3 linked regions of the Rattus norvegicus genome follow. The protein of the gene in region 3 interacts with the protein of the main gene of each other region in a pairwise test. Links are inferred from orthologs where the notes say so. Each region holds a gene or a part of one and is shown on either strand. Other genes may lie near its edges.

Region 1 (4,907 bases), on a different chromosome or scaffold from region 3:
ATTTTCAGACATTGCTCTGGGTAGGGCGAGAGTCAGAGCAGTGAGAGATTTTGAGTCTACTTTACAGTACCTTTTCCTGCCTGCACTTAACCAAAGGGAGGACAAATTAAAAAAAAAAAAACAAAAAAACTGTTGTATGTTTTGTTTTTCTGTCTCTGGGCTGCAACTGCTTCAAAGAGAAAGAAGGGAGGAAGGAAAGAGAGGAGCCAAAGAGAGAAAGGCAGAGCAAGCCTCGTGTGCCCCAAAGGATTTCTAACTGCCCCAACCTAGCCAATTTTGACTTAACCAGAGTGGGTGTGAACACAGGAAGAGGGGGAGTTACCTGTCAAAGTTGCCCAGATTAGGAATAATTTGTTGGTGAGGGCTCAGAAGAACTAACTTCTAGAATGGAGCCACTTAAGCTTAGCTTGGGCACTGCCACATGTGACTACAGATTCTGCCCAGCAGCTAACCGAGCCACGGGAACTGATTCAGAAGGGGGTCCTGTGTGCTGCCTAGGAACTTAGGTCTTTAGACAGTTCCTGAGGAACTGCTTGGACCTGTGCCAATCCAACCAGGAGAGAAGCAGTGTGCAATTATACAGGTTCCCATAGCCCTTATTTTGATTCCCTGGACCAATTCCTTTCCCTCTACCTTTTCTGCACTGACTCCTTCCAGTTTCCAATCCAACAAGACTCCAGTGTTTCTTCAATTCCTGTACAATTCATAAACTGAGCAACAGATTTTTCACCTCTCATTTATGATCCATGAACACATACACAAAGAGCACAAATGTGCGTACACACACACACACACACACACACACACACACACACACACACACAGCCTTCCCCAACAACTCTACCGCAGGACAGAAATGCAAGTTAAACTGGGTCAAAGTCTATTCCCTTTAAAGGTTTTTGTTTTCATTTCTTTTCTCTTTTTTTTTTTGTGTTGGGGGTTAGAAATATCAGACAGTCAGTAGCTGATCCAAGCTGATCATGATGCATTGGTACAAGAACAATGTGGTGACAGAAAACACTCCTCACCTAATACTTCACTCTTACCTAGTAGTCACCTACCAGCCACCTGCTCATTCTATAGATAAAAAGCAGGGTAAATGGCAAAGGCCCAGGAAGACAGCTAGGATCAGTTGGTGACAGCTTGGAATGTCCTGTTGGGCTGATGGCTGGATTGGGATACAGTCCCATCTTGCAGTGGCGAAACTCACAGTTCTTCACAGTACATAGATATCGGGAACACAGTATGAAATCTGGCTAGTTCTTGGTAAGGATATGTCAAGCTTTCTTTTGATAGAGAACCACTTTTAAAAAAGAAAACAAAAAACCTAGAAGATCACAGACAGGAACCAAGCCATGCAAAGAAAAGCAGTACAAACTACAGCACGTGAGCTTGGCATAGAAGCAGTTTGGAGGCCATGCACTTGGAACACCATTAACACTATGCAGGACATCGTGATGGCCAAGAGAAAGAAGAGCAAAGACTTGGAAGCCACAACCTTGAAACTACCGGAGACTTAGAAGAACCAAAGGACACAATCCAAGGAAGAGAAAGCAGACAGAAGGCTGCATGCTGCTAGCCAAGCTGAGAAGGTGGTAAGGACTCTTCTGTAAGAGCTTCTCACGAGGGCAGAGCTTAGCCAGACTGGAACCTGAAGGACCTGGGACTCTCCACTGGCTGCCTTGGTGGGACTCGAACTCCTCTGCGTGGCCCATCGCCCATCAGGTAGTATTGTAGGGGATTGGACCAAAGCTCCCCTTTGATAATTTCAGCTATTCTGTCGAATTCTAGGAGGCTGTGGTCTGAGAACCAATTGAAGAAACTGGGAATCGTGTTCCCCTCTCTATTCCTGTGGATATGGGCCTGGGGTTCTTGACCCCGGTGCCAGCGGATTGGCGTAGAGAGCGACACCACTCGACCTGAGGATCTGCGCTCGTACTCTTTGACCAGCCCCTCATTTCGGAAGTAGGGGTTGCTTTGGAAGATGAACTTAAATTTGCACCCTGCTCTTGGGTGCTTAAGCTCCTCCACCTCTAAATTGATCATGTACCTCATCATGTCTTCATCTTGGCCACTGATCATCGGTGACAGTTGCGGGTGGTTCCGAAACGCTGTGACCCAGAAACCTGGGATGTTTTGGATGATGAAACTTCGGCGCTGCATGTGGAGCCTTCTCATCCGCCCAAATTTGCGTTCCAGCTGGAGGAAGGCCCTGTCAGCTTGCGCATTTACATTTGACAGCTCTTGATCGATGGCTTCCAGGGAGTCCATGCAGTTATTGATCTTAGGGGCTCTAGGACGAGTCTCGTCTTTCCCTCCTCCAGCTGCCTTTTTTTCTTTCTGCACCCCCTTCTTTTCCTGCATTGCCGCCCCTGCTTCTCCTTCCTTGCCTGTAGTCGCAGAGATGGCGCCCTTGGTAGTCATTACCTTGGTCTTCTTCGGCCCTGGCATCATCTGCGACCCCAGGCCCACTGCACCACTGGCTTCCAGAGTTTTTGGCTTAGCAGGGCTGAGCGGCCCTGCAAGCTGACAGCCATTTTTATTGCTGTCGTTGGCTGCCACAGACGCCAAGGGTGCGTCCCCACACTTTGATGAAGACAGACCATCCTCCAGCCCCTCTCCCGCTGCGGCAGCACAGCCATTCTCAGCCACTCGGAGGCAGAGCTGGGGGTCGCAGTGCTCCGAATCGGGGGACGCGCCTCCCTCCGCACCGGCCTCACCTGCAGCCTCCATCTCCCGCACCGTGTCAGTTTCCTCGCTGAGCGGCTGGTCTTGCTTCAGATCCAGATCTTCCGGGACAAGGGCGGAGGTCGAGGTGTTAGCGAGAGGGAGCTCGTTGTTCCCTTCCACGCCGTTCATTTTGGCAGCTGACAGCCCTGCAGAGAAGCTTTCCTTGTTCTCTGCAGACGCAGGGCAGCACCGCAGTGAGTGCTTAGCTCCACCCCTTTTTCTTCTGGGCTAGTGCTACCATGGCAACCTGTGACGTCAGGGTACCAGCTGCAACTAACCATAGCGCGAGAACTCACAGCCCAGGTAATTTCTTTTGTCAATCAAGTGTGTTCTTTTTGTCTTTTTAAATGATGCTGTAAATTTAATCTCATCTGGGAAATTGAGTATTTACATAAATGGATGCCTAATTATTTCTTATATCTATTCGTCTCTAAATTAATTTCGATGGTATCTAAACCATGTCTCAAAATAAATTTTAAAATACAACCTATTGTCTATTAAGTTCAGATTTCACCAAGCTTCTCAGGAATAGAGAAGCGAATTCACCAGCTCACAGGCCTTCCTTTTTTCGGACACAGATTCGATTCATGGTGACTACTGAAGAATTGCGCAGAATCCGATTTTGGAAAAGGAAAAAAAAAGTGTCGTTGCTGTTTTTATTTTCAAGCAAAGATATTCCAAAGGTTAATTTCGATTTCTGCAGAAATTTTGATGTTGTATACATTGGCCAACATCGACAAAGCAACTGGATATTTCTTCACTTTTAAATAAATCGTAAACTGCTCCTTACAGGTGGCCACAACGCGTGTCATGTACAGAGTTAGTAACCCTTGAGAATTGCTGAAGGAGATATAATCTTAGAGGATTTTAATTTCTAAAATGATACATATTAATCCCCCTTTGCCTTGGGTTATGATCGTAGGTTCTGCTTCGTGCCTGTGGGTATGACGCCAACTAATGTTTGCCCAAATTTGCCTTTGTGAAGGTAGAATCAATCAATAATGTTCTTTCAGACACTTAAGCAATTGTGTTTTTAAAATATCTACTTAAAAAGGAAGTAATCAATTTAGAAAATGTATTTATTTATTCAGTCCTTTATTCAAATAAATTATATATATATATATATAATTTATTTGAGCATCACTGTCTGTTTGCTAAAGTCTGAGAATGAGGATGTTAATCCTTAGGGATAGGAAAGATCAAAGAGACTTAAATTTTGCAAATTTAACTTTTCAATTCCTATTAGAACCAGCTCTTTGCCCTGGGAAATTTAATTCTGCCCAGAGTATGGCTTCGCTACAATAAGAGTCTTAGAATAGGGGTTTAAGAAAAACAACATTACCCAAAGAACTCTAATGAGTGACATGATGGCATCTGGTTCAACCAAGACTCTGAGGTGATAAGAACGACACATGGCATATCATGCAGTTTGATTTTTTAACTCCAAAGTTGAGTGTCCTTATTCAAAGAGAGTATGATGCCCAGACTGTGCTCTTCCTAGCCCCTATCCCAACAAAAGGGGGAAAAAAATCAATTGATCAATTATCTAAATAAAATAAAAATATACACACAAATAATTATTTTTCTGTCTCCCTTTCCTTTTTCTCTTAACAAATGTTCTTTTGCCTTATTGAGGTGAAATCAATGTATCATTAACTTTCTTTGTAAACATATAAACACTGTGCTGTAATCGACGCTGTGACTCTTGAGTTACTCTTTAACCTTACACTGCTTCTTTACCTAAAGACTCTTCACGCTGTTGAAAGAATAACAAACACTCTTGGACTTTAGCCTAAAACAAAACACAGAATCATCAAGTGCTGAGCCAAGGTACAGGACAATGTAGGAATAAGAAAAAAGTTTGCTATTTCATCACTTCATAAAAATGAGAAAATCATAAGTGGACTTCTTTCTCATATATATATATATATATATATATATATACATATATATATATATATATCAGTGTTTTAAAGATTTGTTTTTCTACTGCTGGAAACACCCCTGCTTATATTATATTTATCATATTATATATTACATAATAATTTATATTGACTATTTTTCTTGAAATTCTTGAAATTCAGTATATTATTACACATATATGAGAGGGGGCAGGGAGAAGGGAGACAGAAAGGAGATAGGGGATAGGGGAAGGGAGAAGGGAGACAGAAAGGAGA
Region 2 (5,229 bases), on a different chromosome or scaffold from region 3:
CAGCACAGCCACAGTGGCTGCTGCGGCCTGGTGGGCGTGAGTGAATAGAGATCTGGTTGGCAGAGCTCCCACTGCCACATCCATCCCATAGCTGCCCTGGCCACCATGTTCACGAGCCCATGGGGGTCACAACAGGGCAGCTGGAGAAAGAGGTGGGCTGCTATCCCCAGAACACGCCATCTCTCTGAGGCCACCTCCTGGTGAGCACTCACAGATGAAACACAATCTCCATTTTTATGCCTGTGCACCTGAGGGCGTGCGTGTGCACAGGCGCTCACTAACAACATGGTGACCAAATTAAAAAAAATCTGATTCTGATGATATTGTAAGTTTTAAAACTTTTATTTTCATTTTGTGTATGTGTCTGTCTGTCTGTCTGTCTGTCTCTCTCTCTGTGTTTGCGTGTGCGCGTGAGAGAGAGAGAGAGACAGACAGACAGACATGGCCAGACGAGGGTGTTTGATCAGACCTCTGGAGCTGCAGTTACTCAGGATAGATGCTGTGAATCTGAACTCTGGTCCTCTGCAGGATTCTGCAGGACCAGTATGTTCTCTCTCTCTCTCTCTCTCTCTCTCTCTCTCTCTCTCTCTCAATTATTTGTTTATTTTTTTAAATATTTATTTATTATAGATAAGTACATTGTAGCTGTCCTCAGACACACCAGAAGAGGGCATCGGATCCCATTACAGATGGTTGTGAGTCATCATGTGGTTGCTAGGAATTGAACTCAGGACCTCAGGAAGAGCAGTCAGTGCTCTTAACCACTGAGCCATCTCTCCAGTCCACAGTATGTTCTCTTAGCTGTCAGGCCAGCTTCCCGGCCCGTTTTAAGACAGTTTATGTTATGTATTCAGAGATATTCCTAGCGATCCTTGGGTGCAAGTCAGAGATACCTGAGAGCATTCAATGGCAGGCTGGCCAATTCATCTGCATTTGCTATGGAATACCTCTTGGGGGAGGAGAGGGTTAATTTTAGCTTACCACTTGATCACAGGCCACCACTGAGAGGAGCCAAGGCAGGAGCCTGAAGGCAGGCCTGCTTACTATAACACACAGCATTAACCTCCAACCAAGAGCTCACCTCACTGCCAAGCAGGTACAGCAGGAACCGCAGAGGATGCTGTTTGCCAGCTGGCTCATAGATGGGCTTCAGTTCAGTTAGCTTTCTTGGTTAGTTCAAGACCTAGGTAATGGTGCCGCCCACAGTGGGCTGGGCCTTCGAAGGCCAGTTAACTGTCAAGACATTTCTTACAGACACAATCTGCCCTAACCCTAGCCCTGGGCTGTGTCAAACGGACAGGTAAAGCTAACTAGGACACTGACAGCCCCTTTTCCAACTGGATTTTCACTAAATCCAGACTCTCTGCTCATGTCTTTATCAACTTCAAGCCCCATCCACCCATGCTAACGTTAAGGCTCCTGGTAACAGGCAACTGGCTGCCCCACCTCTCCAGGGCCTTGTCTTCCAGTGGTCACAGGTTCCTCACTTCCTGTAGAAACTCTCCCATGCTTCTTCCTAGCGTCCCACTCCTCCCCCACGTTCCACCCACAGCCAGGCCTCCTGGCTTCAGGCTGACTACTCCCCACAGTTCAGTTTTGTAGGTTTATTTTTGCCTCCGGGTCCAGAGGGCCAGGTTACCCGTGACTGGCACTTCCTGGACCCAGTGTCCTGTAGCAGGTGCTTTGCTGGAGCAGCCAAAGGGAAGGGATGGTGGAGGTGAGCCAGCTGCTAGGAGCTTGGCACAGGCTTGTGTGCTCCTGGCCAGCCCCGCGCTGCCAGCGATCCTCAAGTCATTTTTAACAGCTGCTCCCACCCCCCAACCTGTCATCTGTCACTTGGTAGGAAGAAGTCCCTCTCTTGTCCACCCTGCCTTTTACTCCCAGGGTCGGGGAAGCGCCCAGTTTTTCGGTCCCTGGTCACCCTGCCCCATCACACTTCCCCTCCTTGGTTTCCTTCAAGTGAAAAGCAAAACTTTCTGCGCGCTGCGGTCTGGGAGCCGCGAGGGGCGGCGCGCGTGTGCGAGGGGGCCGAAGCTGGAGAGGAAGCGGCGGTCCTGGGCAGGAGGAAGGAGCCAGCCCTCGGCTCGGCCCCCTGCCCGTTTCCCGCCGCCTCCGCGGTCGCAGTCACCACCGTTGCCGCCGTCCGGAGCGCAGCCAGCCGCACGATGCAGGGCGCGGGTTCCCGGGGCGCTTGGATCCACAGTCCGAGCCACTGCCCAGGTAGGGCCCGGGGTCTGACGGAAGGCGAGCGCGGCCTGCCGAGATCCGGGCGCACCCCGGTGCGGGGGAGGGAAACCGAGGCAGGGAGCGGGGCGTGCCGGGTGCGGGCTGTCGCGTCTCCGGCTGCCACTGCAGCTCCCGTCCAAGCGCGTCCCCGCTGGGGGGAGCCTGGCGGCCTGGGGCGCAGTCGGTGGAGGGCGGCGTCCGCAGCGCCTGAGTGCAGCTCGGTCCTGGGACTCTCTCTCGCGTGGCCGGCGCGGACCCTGTGGGGACGCAGGGCGAGGTTGGGAGAGGTGTGGGAACTGCAGCCCGCACCTCCCGTGGGGCTGCTCGCCGCCCACTTCCGAGTGTGGACTGTGACGCGCAGGGCAGCGCAGGCTGAGGGGACCCACTCCATTTTCCCCCGTCAGCATGGGCCACCTACCAACCCTAGTGATGACATCGAGTTAAGTGGGCGGCCGCTTTTCAACAATGACCTCCGCAACTCACTGTCAGAAAACCAAGGAAATGAATGTGATGGCGCACGCCTCTGTTGCTAGTACGCAAGAGACTGAGCCAGGAGGATTGCGGACACTTTCTAATACAGCCTGAGACGCTATCTCAAAAACCCAAATCAAACCAGAATAACGGAAAAACAAAGCAAAGCAAAACAAAACAAAAACAAGAAAAAAACAAAAACCAAGCAGGGAGCCCAGCTCCAGACTGGGCTTTGCAGTTTGGGCGTGCCGTGCTGAAGGAGAGAGGGCAAGGGACTTAGGCTCTTATTTTAGCTCTTGGAGCCTCAGTTTGCCCATTTGTGAAAGGGGCACTAGCCACCCGCTTGCCTGTCTCCTTAACTAGGTTCTATGAAGAATTTTTTTTTTGCAAATGGGAGTTAGAAAACACAGGGTTGATGGGTGAGTGTAGGGTGAGAGTCTCCTGCACATGCGTCCTAGACTCGGGCTTGCCTCAGTTTTTCAATTTGCAAAATGGAGCTGATTTTCCTCCCGACTTGGTCGGGTTTTTAAAGGGTTTAATGTGGTAGGAGGGCATTAAACCCCTGGTTTAATGTGTCTGAGATACACAGCAAGCTCTCAAAAATCTTTTAGTTGCCCAGGTTAGCCTTAAATCCCCTGCATACCCTAGGCTGGCCTCCAATTCGCTAGCCTTGGCCTCCCAAGCGCTGGGATTACAGGTGTGCTCCACTACGCATGGGTCCCTAAGTATTTATTTATTTTTTTGACCGTACAAGACCTAATAATTACGGGTAATACAGGAATGCCAGTGTGAGTTAGTTAGCGTCTGAATTACAGGATATTTTAAAAGACATTTGGCATCTGATGTGGAGACTGTCAAGGTTTAGCCAGGACTCTGCTCACAGCAAAAAGAGCCCTGGATGAGAACCCTGCATTCTGAGCTGCCTCTCCCAGCCTCGGTTCTCTCTTCTGTTGACAGAAAGAGAAAGCACCGTTCACACTGAGTGTTGCCCTAGGATCAGGAGAAGCAGAACATCTGGAACTGGGGCTGGTGCCACCTTTGCAGAAAATGCATGGGCCAGGCACCTGCTCCTGCCCTAGGATGAGGTCCTCCTCAAACCTGTGAGGGCTGGTGCTACCATTCTCATCTTTTCTTCCATGAGGCAAGGGCTAGTCACCTGCCTGTGGCTTTGGTTGTTAAACAAGGACTGAGGCTCAGAAACCAGGTGCTGGTGTCTCCAATCACTGGCTGAAGGGAAGCCATGAGGTAGAGCCCAGGTTGAGAGTAGACCTTTTCTGGTCAAAGGCAATGCTTGGTCTGTTTCTGCCTTTTATACCTATTTTGTCATCTATCTATCTATCTATCTATCTATCTATCTATCTATCTACATCTATCTACCTCTATCTATCATCTATCTATCTATCTCTCTATCTATCATCTATTTATATCTATCATCTATCTACCTCTACTATCTATCTATTATCTATATGTCTATCATTAATCTATCATCTATCTATCTAACATCTATCTAACATCTATCTACCTCTATCTACCTACCTACCTATCTATTATCTATGTCTACTATCTATCTATCTATCTATCTATCTATCTATCTATCTATCATCTATCTCTCTCTATCTATTATCTATGTGTCTATTATCTATCTATCTACATCTATCTATCATCTATCTCTCTATTATCTATATGTCTATCATCTATCTATCTATCTATCTATCTATCTATCTATCTATCTACCTACCTACCTATCTCCAGCCATCTGCTTACCTACCTACATGCAGTACTAGGGACCACACCTAGGACTTTGTGCAATGCTAGACAAGCAGGTGAGCACTTCAGCACACCGTCCTACCTCTAGCTGGCATTTTTCATAATTGCAGACCCTAACAAAATGAGAGTAAATCACAGGAAGAACTTCGCCTTCCCCCTAATGTAATATTTTTATTGATTATTTGGGAATTTTATACAAATGCAATGCATCCCACCCCACTCACTTCCTATTCCTGCCACCCTCCCACCTTTGTGCCTCTCCTCCCCTCAACAAACAAACATCACCAAATTCAATTTGTGTCTCTCACACAGTCATTGTGTTGCTCCCAGTGGCCAGTCCCTTAGAGAGACCTGAGCCCCCTACTCCCTCTGCCTCCTGCAGAAAGAACTTTGCAAACACTTTAATTTCATCTTTTATTTTATAAGGTTCTATTTTGTGATATCTTCTTGCAGAAGAAGAATGAACTATAAAAACTTAACCAAGTCAAATGGTCTTAAACTTTGAAAGAATGCGTTGTGAGACCTTCGTCTGAATCTCAAAGTTCGGTCTACTGGATGTTCGATTTTAACAACTTGCCAGAGGCAGGCGGGGCGGGGCGGGGCGGTAGCCTGTAAGGAGGAGATTTTTTGTCAGACGGTCACTTCGCTGAGAGTCCTAGGACAGGCAGAAGGGACCTCAGTGCTACCCAAGATGAAAGGAGGCGTTTCAGATTGGAGAACCCAGGCTGGGGCTCTGTTACAAAAGGAATTCCCAGTTCCTCTGAA
Region 3 (5,257 bases):
AGACAGCATTTAGAAATGCCATACCGGGGCTGGGGATTTAGCTCAGTGGTAGAGTGCTTACCTAGGAAGCGCAAGGCCCTGGGTTCGGTCCCCAGCTCCGAAAAAAAAGAACCAAAAAAAAAAAAAAAAAAAAAAAAAAAAAAGAAATGCCATACCCAGACCTGCAGGGTCCCTGGGATTTCTTATGGCTTTCTCTCACCCTCTTCCTTCAGCCTTTCCACATCTCGTTCAAATCTGAAGGCCTCCCTTGAACGGAGTTGCCACTGTCCCAGGACAACTCAGTGTGTGACTTTCCAAGCTGTCCTTCTTTCCAGCCTGTCTGCAATCTAAATACAGACCCAAGTACCTTCTATACACTTTCCATTTGACGGTTTCCCAGCATTGCCAACTCCACAAGTTCAAAGCCCCTCTTCTCCAGCACATGGTCCACATCCAGTGTCGCTGTCTCAGGAGAGGGCACTCCCACTCAACACTTAAGTGGCGTGCACGTGTGTGTGTGTGTGTGTGTGTGTGTGTGTGTGTGTGTGTGTGTGTTTTGTTTTTGGAGACAGGGTTTCTCTGTGTAGGTCTGGCTTTGCTGGAACTAGCTTTAGACCAGGCTGAATTTGAACTCAGAGGTTTAACTGCCTCTGCCTCCAGTGCTGGGATTAAAGGTGTGCGCCACCACTGCCTAGCTTGAGTGTCATCTTTGAGGCCTCCTCAGGCATTTGGCCAATCCATTACCAACCCCTGTCCATTTTCCTCCTAAATGTCTTTCAACTTCTGCTTATCTTCTCCCTACAGCTTCTGACTAGAGGCCCCAACCTCTGCCTTACAGGCTCCTAATTGCTCTGTCCCCAGTCTTATCACCCGTTAACTGGTTCTTCTAACCAATATATGTATGTCCTTCCTTGTACCGAACCCTTCACTGGTTCCTCGATGTCTGCAGGGGTGAAGTCCAAGCTCTTTAATGAGGCCCTCTTTGTTATGATTCTTATATTTTTACAGCCTTCTCCCCGGTCACTGCCTTAAACATTTAACTGCATAGAGGTGGACCTGAGATCAGTCATAGGCCAGAGACCTGCGGCATAGTGTCCTCTTGAAATCTGTCGTAAACAAGGAACCTTGCATTTCACTTTAAGTTGGACCGTGTATATTTTGCCAGTCTCCCTGTCCTGTCCCTGAACCACTTGTGGCCTTAAAGTTTGTTCAGTCTCTTCCATCAGGAACACCCTTTCCAGGCATCGTCCTTCCCTCTGCAACTTTTCCTCTAATAATCAATGCGAGTGTTACTTCCCTCTCCCTTCCCTTTCCCGGTCGTCCAATGGGAGGACAAAATGTGTCAAGAGCCTCAAGAGACCCACAACGTTCTATATGTGGTAAAGGGAGAAAAAGGTGGGAAGAAAGTATTGTTTTAACTACTTTCAAACGCCATCTGGAGGGCACTAGGACCTGTCTGCGGACGAGTTCGTTCTCTAACAGAGGAATCCGCGCTTGACAGCGGAGAAAGCAGACTACACCGGCTCTTGGGCGCCCTCTACTGCCATCGCGCAAGCGCAACACCTCTTCCTGGAAATCACCTAGCCCGTACCCGCCTCTCATCTCCCATTGGCTACTCCCTATTCTCCCGCCCTCCGGTGCTCAGCCAATCAGAACCTCTTGGTGGGCGGGGCTTTCGGCAGAGGGGCGGGGCGTAGGCTTGGATTGGCTCCGCTGAAGACGGCGACGTGGCTGAAGGAGGCCGGTTTGTTTCTGAATTGAGGCTCAGGCACGCCGGCTCAGGATTGGTGCTGGGCCGGGCCGGGGTCTTTGGCCGGAAGCGGAAGTGGAAAAAGGATGCAGGTGTGGGGACCAGGGCTGGAGAAACTGGGTCTGTTATGGGACTCCTGTCCTGCCTCTTGATGCCCTCCCGTCCTCAGTCGGGCGCTCTGCCCCTGAAGGGTGGCGGTTGGGTTCGTGGAATGAGCGCGCGCGAGGCACATCGCCTGCCTGCGTTCACGCCTCCCTCCCGGTTGTATTTCCCACCAGGACCATCAGCACGTGCCCATCGACATCCAGACCAGCAAGCTGCTCGGTAGGAGAGGGCGCCCCCGCGCGTTCGGCTGTCGGGGGAGGTCTGCTAGTTGCCCCCTGTCACTAGCAGCCAGGAGCTGTCAAAGTTCTGGTTGAGATGCCTTAGTCTAGCGACCTGTTTGCTCTGCAAGGAAGGAAGCATGGAAAGTCTGTACTGGCTCCGTATTTTCTACTTTTTTTTTTTTTTTGGTTCTTTTTTTCGGAGCTGGGGACCGAACCCAGGGTCTTGCGCTACCTAGGCAAGCGCTCTACCACTGAGCTAAATCCCCAACCCCCGTATTTTCTACTTTTAACATTTATAACGTAGTATCAAAACGTATTCAGGAACACAGGACGAGTGGATAGTGTTAAAGATGGACAATTACCAAATGGCTGATCCGTTTGGAACTTGTCTGTTTGGTTCTGTCTTCATGCTTTTTGCATTATTTTGGGTGGGTAAACCCTTCCCACTTATTTAATAAATTTCTATCTCTCTTTGGATTTAGGGAGAAAAGGGCCTTCAAACTCAGATACAGACCTTTTATGCCAGCCATGGTAGCTCATGCTGGTAACCATAATACTTGGGAGACAACTGAGGCAGGAGGATTGGGCAGTTCTCAAGACAGCCTGGTTTACATAGCAAGTTCCAAGCTATGTATTTGCTAACAATGAACACTTACCCCGAATTCATCCCCCAAAAAGCCTTTAGTCCTAGCACTCAGGAGGCAGAGCCAGCCTGGTCTCCATAGCAAGCTCCAGGGCAGCCAGAACTACATGGAGAGACCCTGACAGAGAGACAAGAAGACCCTTTAGTGGCCAGGTTGTCTCTGCATCTGGTTTACATCCCTTAATCTGTCACTTCTGGACATGTGCACAGCCCCTGGCACTCGAAATGTTTACAGATTCGCCAGTCCACTGTTAATCACATCCTTGAGAGGGTGTTTGCGGACCTTAGCCCCTTGTAGGAATTCTGACGTGGGCTGTCTTCCTTTCTGACCACTTGAGAGGAACTCATCAGAGACAATTTCTGACACTATAGTTGTTTGAGATAAGTTGACCAGTTGACAGACTTGTTAACAAGGCCACCTTTGAAATTGAGAGGGGGCGTTCGGTCCTTTGACGGGCACTGTCTTAGCCTCCCAAGTGCAAGGCACCCAGTGTGTGGACACCCGCTGTGTTTACCCTAGTGTGGGAGCTTGTCCTCAAGTCCTCAGAGGAACCAGTGGGACAGCATGCACTGAGCATTTGTTCCACACCCCCTGCCACTTTTATACTTGTCCCTTTCAAAACGAAATCCCTGAGGTTCATTGAGTCACTGTGGTACATGAGGCACGGTGCATAGCACATCATCCTATGTGTGGGGAAACGGAAGCACAGAGAGATAGAAACTGAAAGCCAGCAAGATGGCTGCACAGTAGGTAAATGTTCTTACCGTCAAACCTGATGACCTGAGTTCTGGATCAGGACCCCGTGATGGAAGGAGAGAACTGGCTCTCGGAAGTTGTCGTCTGATCTCCACTTGTGAGCCGTGGCACATGGGTACACACACGCATATGTGCACACTGAATAACTAAACAATATAATTAAGTTTTTAATTAAAAATGTCTTTAAGAACTTGATAATTAGACCCCAGGACCATCTAACCATAAAACCTTGGTTTCTCTCCTTAGGAAATGATCATAGCTGTTAGCCCTCAAAACACATAAGCTACAGTGTAGTCATGTGGCAGAGTGGTTCTTCAGAGTTAAAAACAGACCAGTGACTAGGCCGGGCAGTGTAGTGTACTCCTTTAACCCAGCACTGGGGAGGCAGAGGCTTTCCGTGAGATTGAGGGCAACCTGATCTATATAGTGAGTTCCAGGAGGACAGCCAGGGCTACACAGAGAAACCCTGTCTCAAAAAAAAAAAAAAAAAAACAAAAAAAACTAACAGGCCAGCCTTTGGGGCGAGGTAGTGTTACGTTAGGGGCTTTACAGTTGTTCGTTCATCCGGTACTTGGCATAACCACCTTGTGTTTTCCATTGTCGTGGTTAATCCCAGCCCCGAGGAAATGGAAGTTGAGCAGCACCTCTGTCAACAAGAAAGATATAATTACACAAGAAGCGAAAATATTATGGAGAATTTAGAATGGTCAAAAGTGGCACTTTCATGTCAGGACCAATTTAAAGTTTTTCTTTATCCCCGTGTTAAGGCGGTTGCTCTGTAAAACTCATACCGGGGATAAAGTTGGGGCGCCAGAGACTGTTTAGCCCAAGCATCTCTCTGAGTCTGTCTGTCTCTTCATCTCTTCCCATCCCCTTCTCTCTCTCTCTCTCTCTCTCTCTCTCTCTCTCTCTCTCTCTCTCTCTCTTTCTCTGATACCTCAGCCAATACAAAGACTTTTGTTCAATATCCAGTAGGCCGACACTTGAACTGATGAATTCCCAGTGGGGAGTTAGTGGTATGGCGGACCATGGTGACCTGCTGGTTCTCATGCAGATTGGCTGGTGGACAGAAGACACTGCAACTTAAAATGGCAAAGCCTGGTGCTGACCATCCGGGAAAAGATCAACACCGCCATCCAGGACATGCCAGAGAGCCAAGAGATTGCCCAGCTGCTCTCTGGTTCCTGTGAGTGATTTGGAGCCCCCTCCTTCCGGGAGACATTCCCTTGTTGAACCTCCAGGGCGGACCCCAGAGCGAGAGTTTTTTTTTCTGGGTCAGAGATGCTGGCGGCAGAGCACAGGGGTCAGCCACTCGTAGCAGTCAGAGGAGGAGAGGAAGGCGGTGGGATTCTGAGAGCCCCTTTTTGCTTTCTAGACATCCACTACTTCCACTGCCTAAGAATAGTGGACCTTCTTAAAGGTACCGAGGCTTCCACCAAAAATATTTTTGGCCGCTACTCTTCACAGCGGATGAAGGTGAGTATGGCCAAGGACTGGTAACATGCAGGTGGGGACATCCATGGCCTCTCTAGTCTCACTGGTGAACAGGTCAAGATGCCTGATCTTTCTTTGTCCCTAAAATTATACCAAGGTGGACCTGTCCTCTGGGCTTCCATGTCCTGACCTTTGGGGATCGCTGTTGGGTATCACAGTCTCATAATCACGTGGGTGGTCCAGCCAAGATTAAAGCTGGAGGAAGGCGAGGAGTTTGTGTTCAGTATGCTAGGATGCCTGGGGCAGCCTTCTCTGCAGGGATTGGCTGGGAGGGAGCCGTGGATGATCCTCTGGCTGATTTCCTCTCT

Evidence for each region. The genes of interacting proteins can lie anywhere in the genome.
Region 1: the proteins of Cdk5rap3 (region 3) and Tspyl4 interact in binary tests that used the Homo sapiens proteins (3 or more experiments, as listed by UniProt). The two-hybrid records come from large-scale screens. The link is inferred for Rattus norvegicus from reciprocal best matches to the Homo sapiens genes CDK5RAP3 and TSPYL4.
Region 2: the proteins of Cdk5rap3 (region 3) and Disc1 interact in a two-hybrid assay, tested with the Homo sapiens proteins (2 studies listed by BioGRID and IntAct). The link is inferred for Rattus norvegicus from reciprocal best matches to the Homo sapiens genes CDK5RAP3 and DISC1.

What each region holds. Positions count from the first base shown.
Region 1 is NC_086038.1:39,651,797-39,656,703, reverse strand, and holds Tspyl4 (testis-specific Y-encoded-like protein 4), read right to left. Parts: upstream 2,917-4,907; 5' UTR 2,860-2,916; coding exon 1,636-2,859; 3' UTR 920-1,635; downstream 1-919.
Region 2 is NC_086037.1:69,909,966-69,915,194, forward strand, and holds the start of Disc1 (disrupted in schizophrenia 1 homolog), read left to right. Parts: upstream 1-2,010; 5' UTR 2,011-2,165; coding exon 2,166-2,220; intron 2,221-5,229. UniProt on the Homo sapiens protein: Involved in the regulation of multiple aspects of embryonic and adult neurogenesis. Required for neural progenitor proliferation in the ventrical/subventrical zone during embryonic brain development and in the adult dentate gyrus of the hippocampus.
Region 3 is NC_086028.1:82,396,463-82,401,719, reverse strand, and holds the start of Cdk5rap3 (CDK5 regulatory subunit-associated protein 3), read left to right. Parts: upstream 1-1,718; 5' UTR 1,719-1,815; coding exon 1,816-1,821; intron 1,822-2,007; coding exon 2,008-2,053; intron 2,054-4,427; exon of another isoform or gene 4,428-4,509; coding exon 4,510-4,641; intron 4,642-4,830; coding exon 4,831-4,931; intron 4,932-5,257. UniProt on the Homo sapiens protein: Substrate adapter of E3 ligase complexes mediating ufmylation, the covalent attachment of the ubiquitin-like modifier UFM1 to substrate proteins, and which is involved in various processes, such as ribosome recycling and reticulophagy (also called ER-phagy).